3 linked regions of the Nothobranchius furzeri genome follow. The protein of the gene in region 2 interacts with the protein of the main gene of each other region in a pairwise test. Links are inferred from orthologs where the notes say so. Each region holds a gene or a part of one and is shown on either strand. Other genes may lie near its edges. The genes, in order: tnfaip1, zmynd19 and enox1.

Region 1 (4,046 bases), on a different chromosome or scaffold from region 2:
TTCTCTTTGTTTTGCCACAGACTTCAGCAAGTTTCTGGCTCCAATCGCCTACAGGACAGGATGATGAGTAATAAGTTCTGCTTACACATGATTAGAGCATAAACCCGATACCACTAAAAGTTTCACAGAATCAGGAGAGAAAACAGGGACATACAAAGCTGCTTTCTGTGTCAGACTTACCTTCATCTTCTCCGTTTCTGCTTCTTTTGCCAGTTCGTCCACCAGCTCGATTAGACCACCCACGGTCTTCTGAAACTGTCCAATTTCTGCAACAGAGGAGACAATTTTGCACACACTGTTGAGGCTGGTGATGATGAAAGGGAATAAATAGTTGGAAAAGTGTGGGGGTGGGGATGAGGACGTAAAATCTCCATGCTTACTGTCTACAAAGTCCTTGCACTCTTCTTTAAGCTCTGACGTCTTGTGGCTGACATCAGGCTCTAGCACCCGCAGCTTGTTCAGGTCATCAAAATAAAACCCTGCCTCTGCGAGTGGGTCTTTAGCCATGGCCAGAGGCCTGTCATCAACGACAGATGCAACTTAGTTTAGTAATATCAGATAGTTTGTAGGATAATATACCTAACAGGTAACACCCCATTATCATCATAATACACACAAGAGCAGGTTCAAAACAAACAGAAGTAAAACACATTATTTTACTAAAGATGTTCAAGTGCAAACCTTTCGGTAAAGCAGGATTCCTTCTACTCTAGTGCTTAAATTAACAGCACCTTAAATTAACCTCGGCTGAATGAAAGTTCATGTGTCACCAAATGAAAGATTATGCTTTTATTTTGTTTCGGTCATGTTAAGAACTCCCCAGCTAGATGATTTAAGTTAGCTAGCATAGCTAGATGTTTCAAAAATGCCACAAATTGTTTTCTGTCACCACTTCATAATAGATGACCAGTTTTTATGAAGATAAGAAACACAAATGTGTATGTTTTACCTGTTACAGTCGTGAGCTGATAGGCTTTATCCCGTGTGATGTGGCAGAGCAGATGAACTAGCAGCTAAGCTCCTCCTGTCGCTGCCAAGGAAACCAAACAGCTACAGCTGTGTCGGGGTCTTTGGGGGTGGTCGTTTTCCCCTATCCTTCTTAATTATCATAACAAAACTATTCACTGTTTCGTTACAACGCTGTCCCCTATGTTTTTTCCGTTTGAATACTTTACCGGTGTGTTACGTCAACATGAGTTCCTCTAGGGTGGGTGGAGGACTCGTATCGAGGTAACACCGGAGAACGGGAGTGACATGTTTATCGTAATGTTTTTAGAACTGTGACCAAGTCAGTCGCTCAGTGACATAAATGATCTAAAATTTAAATCTAAAAAAAAAAATTAAATAAAAAAAAAGCCCAACTATATGTTGTTTCTCTTATCTACTGTGGGTGTTCCACCCCAATGCGGAAGGTGACGGTAATGAACCGAAAAAGCAGTTCGCTAACAGCCATTCCAGAAAAAGAACAAGAAACGGATACGTCTGTTTTGTTTTCTTTCTTTTTTAAAATCATTTAAAACTCCATTTGTTTATTGTTGTTGTAAATATTACTTAAAATCATAAAAAAGAGGACGGTGAGTAACTAAAGCTTACAGACTCATACCGTGTTTAGGATCAACTGTAGGATCCAGTTTGGCCATTTTTTACTTTTCCTTAGTTTATTGAAGTTTTACCTCGTGATCACGAATATTCAGGAGTTAGTTTTCCGTTTACTAGAAATGCATTTAATGCAAACAGCGATATCGTTTCAGTGCGTTCAGCTTCTAATATTTGATCTGTTGTTTATCTGCTTTTCTGAGTTTTTGGCTAATGTTAGCGGGACATGCTAACAAGATACAGTAAAACGAATAAACATACAGCATAAAAGCTTTAGTTTCCACTGACCTGTGCTATTCTGAACTGAAACTGTATATCAGAGTTAACACGCATGTGAAACTAAATATTGTGTTTACACGGAGTTTAGTTATCATCACCTAACCTAACTGTTACTGGGCCCCAAACTATTTTTTTATCGGAATTTTTTAGCAGCCACACAACTTTAACCAGAAAGCAGCAGCTTCCATCTTAAGCTAAACTGATTGTTTTGGGACAAGAGTAAATGAAAAACTCCCTACTGGAGCCTCATAGGTGTTTTGGATCTGTTGGACTTCAGATAAACTGGTGCACCATCTATCTGAGACGGAAACAGGAAGTACACAGTACGATGTCCTCTGAAAATGACTACAACCGCATTACCAAATAATCTCTCAAAAATAAACATTAAACTTTGACGTATTCGTTTAAATAACAACTAAGGTATTTTATCAAGTGCTTTTAACTGAGAATGATACAAATAGTTATGAATCACAGGAGCTATTAGATGTTTAAAGTGTAACAGAAAGAGAATTTTAAAGTGTTTGGTTGTTTTATTAAACACTTTGTGTTCTTTAAGGTTCAAACACCTCCTGTAGACCATGTGAAAAGTCTAATAAGAAAATAAAAGAACAATAAAACTGAAAATAAGGAAGGCTGGAGCATTCAGGTGAGTAAAGGTTTATTAGGTGTGAGTAGGGATCCACAATATATCACAAATAAGTCGTTATCGCAATATCAGCATGCGCAATATGCATATCGCAAAGAACAGGTAAATACAGCAATGAATGGTCAGCTCAGATGTTTGCTACACATAATGCATTCTGTCAATCAAGCAGAAGCATTATGTTTTTTAAACAAATCAAATAGAGCTCTTTGGCATATTGGGTGGGTTCTCATAGGTTAGATGTCCGCCCCTGAGGCAGACGGCACTTAATTTTGATGGTTAGCAAACACCTGAGTTAGCTTTGTTCTGCTCTTTCTGCTTTTCCCGGGATCCACTGATTGCCTTTTATTGTTCATTTTATTTTTCCCTTTCCTCACATCTTTTGCTTTTCTCATTTTTATGATTTCTTTTTGTAATTTATTAATTTTGATTATTTTTGTTGCTGAGTTGAGTTTTTAATTATCGCAAGTCATATCGTCATTGCAATATTAGTCACTGTTATCGCATATCTCAGGTTTTCCTAATATCCTAGGTGTGAGTTAAAAGGACTAACGTTTCAACACTATGTGTCTTCGTCAGAGTTATGACATTGGTTACTCTGACGAAGACACATAGTGTCAAAACGTCCTTTTTACTTGCACCCAATAAACCTTTACTCACCTTGAGTCGTCCAGCCTTCCAGCTTTTCATTCAGTGTTCACCGGCTGTGGAGCACCGACCTGTGAGGGGTTGATACGCAGAGGGCTCCATTCCCTAACAATAATAAGACATTTTAGTGCTGTTTCTGATTTTTTAAAACACAATTTGGTGCAGAGTGAAAGATTGACCCATTATCTTCTTCAGTTAATCTAAGTGAAATTGAGGCATTCACTCAGAACTCAAACAACAGATTAGATCACCTCCACTTCGGTTATGTTCATGCACAGCCTCAAAAATCAGCTGTTAACATCATTCATGCAGAAATAAGTACACAGGAAGGAAACCGTTTCAGTGAGCTGAAACATGCAACACATTAGGATCACATGGTTCTTAAAGCCTCCACTGAGTTGTGACCGTCAGAACATGATCTGGTGTGTTTTATAGGTGGACAGGTAGAGACCCACTGGACCCACTTCCAGTAGGATCTGTCTTTCTTTCTTTCTTTCTTTCTTTCTTTCTTTCTTTCTTTCTTTCTTTCTTTCTTTCTTTATTCTTTCTTTATTCATTCATTCATTCAGACATTTAACCTTCTTTTAGATTGAATTGACTATTTGCTGTGAGCCAGAGAAACTGTGCCTCTTCCACAAATTTCTTCTTAGAGGCTGTAGCCAACCTTTGCAGTCAGACTTGTCTGAGAAGGACCTGCAGCTTTCTGAGTGTCTTTTGCAGCTCCGTGTGGTGATTTCATCTTCACTTGATATTTAAAGAGCCTCCAGGAGCTCTGTGCCCTCTCGGTGAGAACAGCCAGGTCGGTTAAAAACACTTATGTGTAGATCACTTTTAACACTTGAATGCTTTAGTCTTTGACGTGGTCTTATTTCCACATCAA
Region 2 (4,243 bases):
CAAGATGGGTGAGGTCATTAATGTCAAGAAACAGTGTGATGTAGTGCTGTCACACCTTTTAAATTCTAGTGTAGCATTTCACCGTCTATTTTTTTTTTCAAAAAGTATATTTTATTGCATTTTCAGTTAACTGTACATCTTTCACACATTATTATGTTGTATACTGAAAGTACATTCTGTATAAAATCTTAATGGAACAACAGAACAACAGAACAATTTAACAATTTTGGTTGTGCTTCTGGCGATACTCTTCACCATCTATTTTATATCATTGGGAAGGAAATAGATGTAGGACACAATTTTCACGTTTAGCCTACACGTTAAACTCAGAATGACCTATGTTTTTCAAAAACAATAAGTCAAAAATGCTTTCTCTGTGAAGGACCTCTTTAAAGGTGACTAATCAGGATAAATGATTTATACAGATTCATGTATTTCCATGTACAATGAAATTCTTCGCTGCTTGCAATGGATGCCAAAAGTATATGTCAGAAAGGGTTATAGTTTTGGCACTTCTACAAGATCCATTTGTAAAGTTACCCCACTCTTATTTTGGTGGTCCAGTTTGTGACATCACTTCCTCTAGATAGTCCCACTCTATCACAGTATAATTTAGGTTTTTAAACAAATAAGATAAAAAAGAAGCAACAAATCAATCAAAACTATTAACTCTACCAAAGTTACAGCACCATTATTCATGTGCAAGTGAAATAAGTGTCCATAGAGGGAGTGGATGGGGTCTTTGAAGATGGAGGTGACTGTCCTGTTGACTCAGTGGTTATTGGTGGTGGTGATGCTGCTCCCGTACCAAACCTTATCACACAGAGATGCAACAGATCTAATTGACTCAATGATGCAGCTGTAGAAGATGCTGAGGATTCTGAGTGACAAACTTCCTCAGCCCCCTAGGAAGTACAGTAGCTGTGTGGAGCCTTCTTTAATGACTGTGTGGTGTTCAATGCACAGGTGAGGTCCTCACTGATGTGGACCCCCAGGTATTTAAAGTCAAGAAGCATTGTTACAAAAAAACAAATAATCAGCCAAACACAACCCATTTTGCTTTTATATGACAACATTTATAACAATGTTTATTCTTTATAAGTTCATGTTTAATTTTAAATGAAAGCTTTTAGAAAACGGAGATTCCTCCCCTTCAGTGGCACAGAGCCGCCAAAGATTTCGCGCGAAAATGATTGGAAGTGATCACGAGAGAGCATTGACGTCTAAGTTAAAATAGGCAGTCTTAAACGTTTGTGTAATTCTATTGGGCGCAAGGACAGGGCATCGCAGACTAAAACGTGTTTCGATTGGTTGGTTGGAATAGTGGCTCATTCCTTCGATAACCCCGCCTCTCACCACAGCTCGCCCAGCTTTCGTGCTCCAGCGGCCGTGTGTCACCGAGGCTGGGCTGCGGCCGGAGAGACCTGGAGGTAGGGCAGTCACTACACTGAACCCAGAAGTTGCATCGCATCGGGGCAGACGGGCTGCCCTGGCGAGTTCTACACCCCGAAAACCGCCAAGGTTGGATTCTACGCCTCGTTGTGTCAACACCACCCGTCCTCCTGATGTCGGATTTCAAGCTCGGGATTGTTCGGCTCGGCCGTGTGGCCGGGAAGGTGAGCTGGATCCCAGTGCTGCCATGTGCGGCCCGTGGGGAATGCGGAAACCTCAAGTAAATACACTGTTAACGGCAATTTATCGATGCCAGTCAGCTGCCGTAATGATAATGGTGCCGTTGAGGGCGCGGGAGTGGGCTAGTTGTACCGTTTCAGAGTCGTTTGAGCGGATTAGAAAAGCCGGCCGCGTCGAGCCAGAGCCAGTCTGCTCTTCTCTACTCCACCGCTATCACTGTCTTCCTTCAAGCTAACACTAGCTAGCATGTCCGTTAGCTGGTTTACTTCCAGTAACAAAACGTCTACCTGAAACGTGAACACAAACTATTTGTGCTTTTGTTGCTGCTGACACTGTCGTGGCTCGTGGCTGGTTGGGGGTGTGGTGTGACAAGGAGAACTGACATTTTATCTTGTAGCGGATAGGTTAGCATCACCAGATTAGCCGTTAGCCATGGCATCTGGATTAGACAGGAGCTGACAACTAATGAGGGAATCGGTGCCTTGCTTCATCAACGCTAGCCCGTGGTAACATAACACCGGCATAGCAATGCTGCGCTCCACACCTCGGGGCTAAAGTATTGTGATTTATTCCGTTCAAATAACGTAATTGCCTCAGATACACGTGACTTTAAATCGGGGCAGGATGCTGGTGTTGACACCCCTGGCTGCTGCTGCTGTCACTGCTGTCACAAGACACGCAGGATAAACTGCTGTCACCAGTCTTGCATCTCATCCGGCTGAGTGACAGTTTTCCTCTGGTTGAAACGTTTTTATATTTAGTTTTAAAACAGATAATTACGCCTTGTTTCATGCCGTTATTAAACCTCTGGTAGGTTGAAACAGGATAAAACTAGTCATTATTGTGGGTAAGTGTATTATAACTTTTACACACTTGGTCAGTTCAGGATTTGACCTGCAACAAAGGGATTGCAGGTCAAATACATATGCGTCTGAGTGGTGTCATCCTCTGTTTATCTTGCAAACATCAGGTGTGTTGCAAATTTTGAACTGGCACAGATCACTTGATTTAAATCTTTTATAGAGGATGAGCTTGAACCATCAACTGGTAGTGAGTGGAAGTTCTGAAAAGCCCTTTCTAAAAATTTCAACTTGTGGTTTTACTAATAGACGAGCTTAAAAATTGGGTATTTGCTGGCGGCATATTGGATAGTGTTTTTTCATTAAAATCCATTCAAAGTATGTTATGATCACAGCTGTAGATTTTATTGTGAAACTCAAATCATGTCTTCAATTTTTCTCCATTTCAGACAAAATACACTCTGATTGATGAGCAGGACATACCACTTGTGGAAAACTATGCCTTTGAGGTAAACTATCAGAATGTTTTGTACCCCGTTTCCCATTTTTATCGCTAACCACAGCCAAGAAGTTTAAAACGGCTACATTTTCCCTCTATTTTTAGGCACGCATGGAGGTAGATGCAGATGGCAATGGTGCTAAGATCTTTGCTTATGCTTTTGACATCGGAAAAGGCCGCTGGGCAGGAAGACCTCTGCATGAGCTACTCTGGTAAGTCTTTTGTTTTCTACAAAAACAAGATGTTCTCTGTGAGCAAAAATGAATAGTTAACATTATCTTCTATATTTAAGTCTTTATTCCTTGACTTGTAGTAGGAAAAGCCTTGAACCTGAACCAGATTGATAAGAACTTCTGAAAAGAGAAACTGATTCTGTGTACGCCAGGAAAAAATACATCATAAATGCTAAAAAAGCAAACATCAACATTTAAATGGATCCTATACAATGGAAAGTTTTAGCTTGAATCTCCCATACCTAATGAGGACAAATCAACCATCTATATTTCCTTTACAAGAATCTTAAAGGTCATTGGTGTTTAGGCTATTTTGCAGCAAATATTAAAACCATCCTTGTTATCCATTAAGTGCATCTGTAGACTTCAAAAACCAGAAATTTCCCCTGGAGGGTAGGGTTAGCTGTATGTTTAAATAAATCCTCAGTAACTCTGAATGAACCAGTTCTTGATTTCTTTGCTTTTAACCAGGGAGAAGCACAGGGGAGGCATTGCCCCTAGTTTTCAAGTGATTCACATCAACTCCGTAACCGTCGACAACCGGTTAGACAACCTTCGACTGGTGCCGGTGGGCTGGAGCCCCAAGCCGGAGGAGATTTCCAGCAAGCAAAGGTGAGACCACTTATGAATTCTGCTGAAAGGCATGGGGGCAAAAATACTAAACATTCCTGAGAGGACTTCGGTAGCTGACGTTGAGTCACTACCATGACTCACATGTTGAGAACCATACTGATTCTAGCAGTATGGTGGACAATAACTGATGTCTTCTGTGTTTTTGTTTTCCTCCTAGAGAGCAGTCTCTGTACTGGCTGGCCATCCAGCAGGTCCCAGCCGACCCGGTGGAGGAGCAGTACCTAGAGCTAAGCCGCACGCGCTACTACAATGCTAACGGGGAGCTAGTGGAGGAAGAGGAGTGCTCCTGCACTTATTACGAGTGTCATTACCCCCCTTGTTCACTAATTGAGAGGAGGGTGTGTACTGAAAGTTCCGATGTTGATTAAAAAAAAACTTTACTCATTCATTTAGCAGGAACATCAAACCTTAATGATCTCGTCTTTCCACAGCTACGAGAGTTTAAC
Region 3 (4,039 bases), on a different chromosome or scaffold from region 2:
GATGCTAATATTGAGGATCTGGGGCATGAACTGCATCAGTTCAAGAGACTTTTGGATAGAAAAATAAAGACTGGTGTGGTTGAAAAGCTTTCTGATACAGTGGAGTTGATCCGTTTCACAAGGAGGTATTTTACGAGTTCTTTAGACTGTGCAAAATCGCAGTTGCACTCCCAGTAAGTTCTGCCTCTTGTGAGCGGAGTTTTTCAACATTAAAATTAGTAAAAACCTACCTCCGGTCTACCACTACAGATGAGCGCCTTAGCAATCTAGGGGTGCTAAGCATTGAATCCAGAAGGGCCAAGGCTCTGAATCTTGAAGCATTTGTAGACCGTTTTGCAAGACAGCACAAACGTAGAATACTGTTATTGTAATGGGACAGATTACTGTGTGACCAATTACTGTCACATCTTGATGATGATTTATGCTGTAAAACTAAATCAGCAAAAACTTACACAAAAGAAGTGTGTGTGTGTGTGTGTGTGTGTGTGTGTGTGTGTGTGTGTGTGTGTGTGTGTGTGTGTGTGTGTGTGTGTGTGTGTGTGTGTGTGTGTGTGTGTGTGTGTGTGTGTGTGTGTGTGTGTGTGTGTGTGTGTGTGTGTGTGTGTGTGTGTGTGTGTGTGTGTGAGTGAGTGAATGTTTATTTTTCATATGTACAGTTCATGTGCAGATATTTTATTTGTTTGAATGTTTATTTTTCATATGTACAGTTCATATAATCTTCTAATAAAGTCACAAACTATAATAATTGACTAGAATTGTTTTTTTTACTCAAGTCTCATGTTACTGTGAAGCATTCAGAATTGTTATCTGAGTACCATAAAAACATGCCAGTTTTACTTTCACAAGTAAACCATTACTGCATTTGCCGTAATAGTTTACTTGTTCATTGTCTTTTATTATGATTTTTTTTTCTTGTGCCCCCATGAAAAAATACTGGCCCCACTGTGGCCCCCCTGGAAAATTTGGTCTAGAACCGCCCCTGTTGTTGTGTTTCACCATCTGAGTTTCCTCAGGAAATAAAGCTGGGGTTTTCTGTTCAGATGTTAGTTCAGAGATTAAGTTTGTCTGTGGTTTCTGGTTTGGAGAAGAACAAAACACTTCCCAGATTAATAATCATGTCAGGTATGAATGCAGCCTGACTCAGCCAGCTCCTACGTGCCTCCTGCAGCCGTCCGATGGGAATCTCTGAGAATGAGGAAACTTTGTTGAGACAACAAACATTCATGTGTCAACCTGACTCACCAAGAAGCTCCTTGGCTGGATGTGGGAATGCCAGCCTGTTAGCTTCTAGAGCAGGAGTTTTGTTGGTTACACACTAAATGGTTAAATCTATTCAAATCTAAATAGGAAGTAAAATCTGATCCAGAAAATCTGAATGTGACATTTTAAAACCGAACGTTGTAACATGTGAATCCAGACTAACAAAATAAAAGCAGGAGATCCTCTGTCTGGAACAAAAGGATCAGGACTTTCCTGATCTATGAGCGTTTTTCTCTGGTTCATCCATCCATGAACTGTCTGAGTCTAAATATTCCCACATAGTTATTCATTCATTTGGATTTGAATGATGAATTAATTAAGCTGCTAATCTCGGCTCCTTTTCGGTTCGTTTGTGGTGAAGTTTGATCAGGTTTCATCTGACTAAACCATTTTATTACCATCTACTTCCTCCGCGGTACCAGCTCTCACCGGTCGGTACCTCCAGTCTGAGCCCAGACCTGGCCGTCGTGCACGTGTCGAGCGCGCGCCCTTGGGTTCTCCGTCCTCCTCCAGCAGCAGCAGCAGCATCAGCACCAGCAGCTGCTCTCTGAGAGAAAGCGCACGCAGGATTTGTCTCCAGCTTCGCCAGAACCGGGATTTACCGTCTTCCCGCCCGCACATTCCGCCGCTCCGCGTCGGATCCTCCCGGTTCCTGACCCGGTAAGGAGGAAGTAAGCTCTGCTGAGTGTCTGCTGACATTAAAACCGTTGTTTTCCGGTGGAGCCCCGCTCGGTGCTCGAGCCCACATCTGCGGAAGAACAGAAGCTTCTTTTGTTTGCTTTCAAGTTGATGTGACGTGATGTTGGGATGTGAGGTTTCTCCTGGAGCGGAGCGCGAACCTTGTTTTTATTCAGAGGAGGCAGGATGCTCCCGCAGCTCCGATCTGGGGCTTTAACTGAATACTCACCCAAAGTCAGAGTCGCTAAAGAAATGCATGAAAAAGTGTGAATAACGAAGAGAGAAAGTGACCAGATAGGAGCAGACCCGGGTTCTCTCAAATGTCCGGTGGCGGTCCTGATGCTGTCCGCAACAATGTCCACTTGCAGGGCTGAAATCTGCTGCTGCTGCTGTGTGGGCATGCGTGCGTGTGAGTGTGTGTGTGCGCGCGCCCGTGTGTGTATGTGTGTGTGTGCGTGCGTGTGCGTGCGCATGTGTGTGGCCGTGTGTGTGTGTGTGTGTGTATCGGGTGAGTTGGTGGAGGAGAGGATGCCCTTGCTTTGAAGTCACCTTGGCCCTTGAGCAGCATCAGTCCACCTCCCCTCCTGTCAGCCGGAGGCTTTTATCTGAGTATTTTAGATAAACAAGGGAAGTTTGGTGTCAGATAAAAGCATCAGAAGCTGAGGAGCAGGAGGTGGACTCCTGTGGCTTACTCGAGTAGAAAAAGTAAAAGTGTAACTCAGCCCTGAAGCAAGGCACAGAGTCATTTTAACAGCATTCAGGCTCAGTGCAGCACGTTCATGTTGGCTCATAAACACAGAGCTCCTGGTAACTCGTCACCACGGCAACCCTCCTCAGCATCGTGTGAAGGCAGCATCAGGGAGTGTCAGTAACAAACCTATAATCTGATAACGCTTACCGAAACACGGGTTCTCTTATAAATCAGGCTGAATCTTTGTTTTTATAAGACGTTTATGTTTTATCCTCTCAGATCGATGGTAGTGTGTTCTGCTGCTGACTCATAATCTGTGGATTAGAACTTAATCCGACACATTATTTGTGCTCATGAACAGGTTTGTGTGAAGTCTGTAAATGTTCATGCACACTATCCTGTATGTGTGTGTGTGTGTGTGTGTGTGTGTGTGTGTGTGTGTGTGTGTGTGTGCAGGATGCAGGACATTCTACTCTTGTTCTTTTATTCGTGTTGCTAACAAACGTGTCAATCTAATCCAAGATGGCGACCACATCATATATACACCCAGGTCTACACGTGGTAGCTGAGAGCCAACAACACACACTCCAATCAGATGGCTGCATTATCAACTGTTTGCAAACATCCTGGAACCATAACACGAGTGTAGTGAATCTGTTTTGGACTCCAGTGAAGATGAAGAATTTTATAATGATGAGAACGTTCTAATCCGAGCTCTTGGATGGATACTTCCGGGTTACGAGAGGTGTCCGATCGTCTGTGAAAGAGTGTCATTAAACAGTAAACCCCAGGAGACACTGGGAGTACAGACAGCACTCATCATCATCATCATCATGATCAGCAACAAACAGCTCCTCGGTTGTCTGCAGGCAAACATCCTGCTGTTCCATGATGAGCTGACATGATGGTGTGATTGCTGAGTCGCTGCAGCAGAATCTGATACCCTCGTCCCAGTGGCGGCTGGGGGCAAGGCCAGGCTGGTTCTGAGAGCGACTGCAGACGCCAGATTTCCCAGAGGTTGTTGGGGAGAACATGGCTGACGGGGTTTCACATAAAAACACGTGCACAGGCAGAAGAATCCTCTGACTGGACCAAAAATCTCGACAGAATTCTTCTGTTGAGATTTCGTGTTTTGCATCTCATTACACCGTGTGGCAAACAGCAGCCTGTTAGCTTCCGTAATGCGATTATCCATCCTCCTCGAGTCTTTTGCAGATCCTGCCACGCCACCTCACAAACAGTAATTGACCCCACGCTGCAGAGCTCAATGGGGACGTCTGCCGCTAATTGTGGTGGTATTTTCAGATACGGTGAGAGCATTAGACTGTGTTCCACCACAGGAAGAATTACTCACAGGAGATGTCTGCGCCAGCTCTATTCTTCTCTCTGTGTGTGTAGGGTTTGGTAAAT

Evidence for each region.
Region 1: the proteins of zmynd19 (region 2) and tnfaip1 interact in binary tests that used the Homo sapiens proteins (3 or more experiments, as listed by UniProt). The two-hybrid records come from large-scale screens. The link is inferred for Nothobranchius furzeri from reciprocal best matches to the Homo sapiens genes ZMYND19 and TNFAIP1.
Region 3: the proteins of zmynd19 (region 2) and enox1 interact in binary tests that used the Homo sapiens proteins (3 or more experiments, as listed by UniProt). The two-hybrid records come from large-scale screens. The link is inferred for Nothobranchius furzeri from reciprocal best matches to the Homo sapiens genes ZMYND19 and ENOX1.

The regions. Positions count from the first base shown.
Region 1 is NC_091753.1:22,424,305-22,428,350, forward strand, and holds the start of tnfaip1 (BTB/POZ domain-containing adapter for CUL3-mediated RhoA degradation protein 2), read left to right. Parts: upstream 1-1,240; 5' UTR 1,241-1,574; intron 1,575-4,046. Other genes in the region: ift20 (intraflagellar transport protein 20 homolog), read right to left, coding at 1-48, 181-266, 381-507. UniProt on the Homo sapiens protein: Substrate-specific adapter of a BCR (BTB-CUL3-RBX1) E3 ubiquitin-protein ligase complex involved in regulation of cytoskeleton structure.
Region 2 is NC_091746.1:54,509,971-54,514,213, reverse strand, and holds the start of zmynd19 (zinc finger MYND domain-containing protein 19), read left to right. Parts: upstream 1-1,384; 5' UTR 1,385-1,565; coding exon 1,566-1,616; intron 1,617-2,881; coding exon 2,882-2,941; intron 2,942-3,036; coding exon 3,037-3,143; intron 3,144-3,635; coding exon 3,636-3,776; intron 3,777-3,954; coding exon 3,955-4,135; intron 4,136-4,228; coding exon 4,229-4,243. UniProt on the Homo sapiens protein: May be involved as a regulatory molecule in GPR24/MCH-R1 signaling.
Region 3 is NC_091754.1:35,044,258-35,048,296, forward strand, and holds the start of enox1 (ecto-NOX disulfide-thiol exchanger 1), read left to right. Parts: upstream 1-1,169; 5' UTR 1,170-1,920; intron 1,921-4,039. UniProt on the Homo sapiens protein: Probably acts as a terminal oxidase of plasma electron transport from cytosolic NAD(P)H via hydroquinones to acceptors at the cell surface.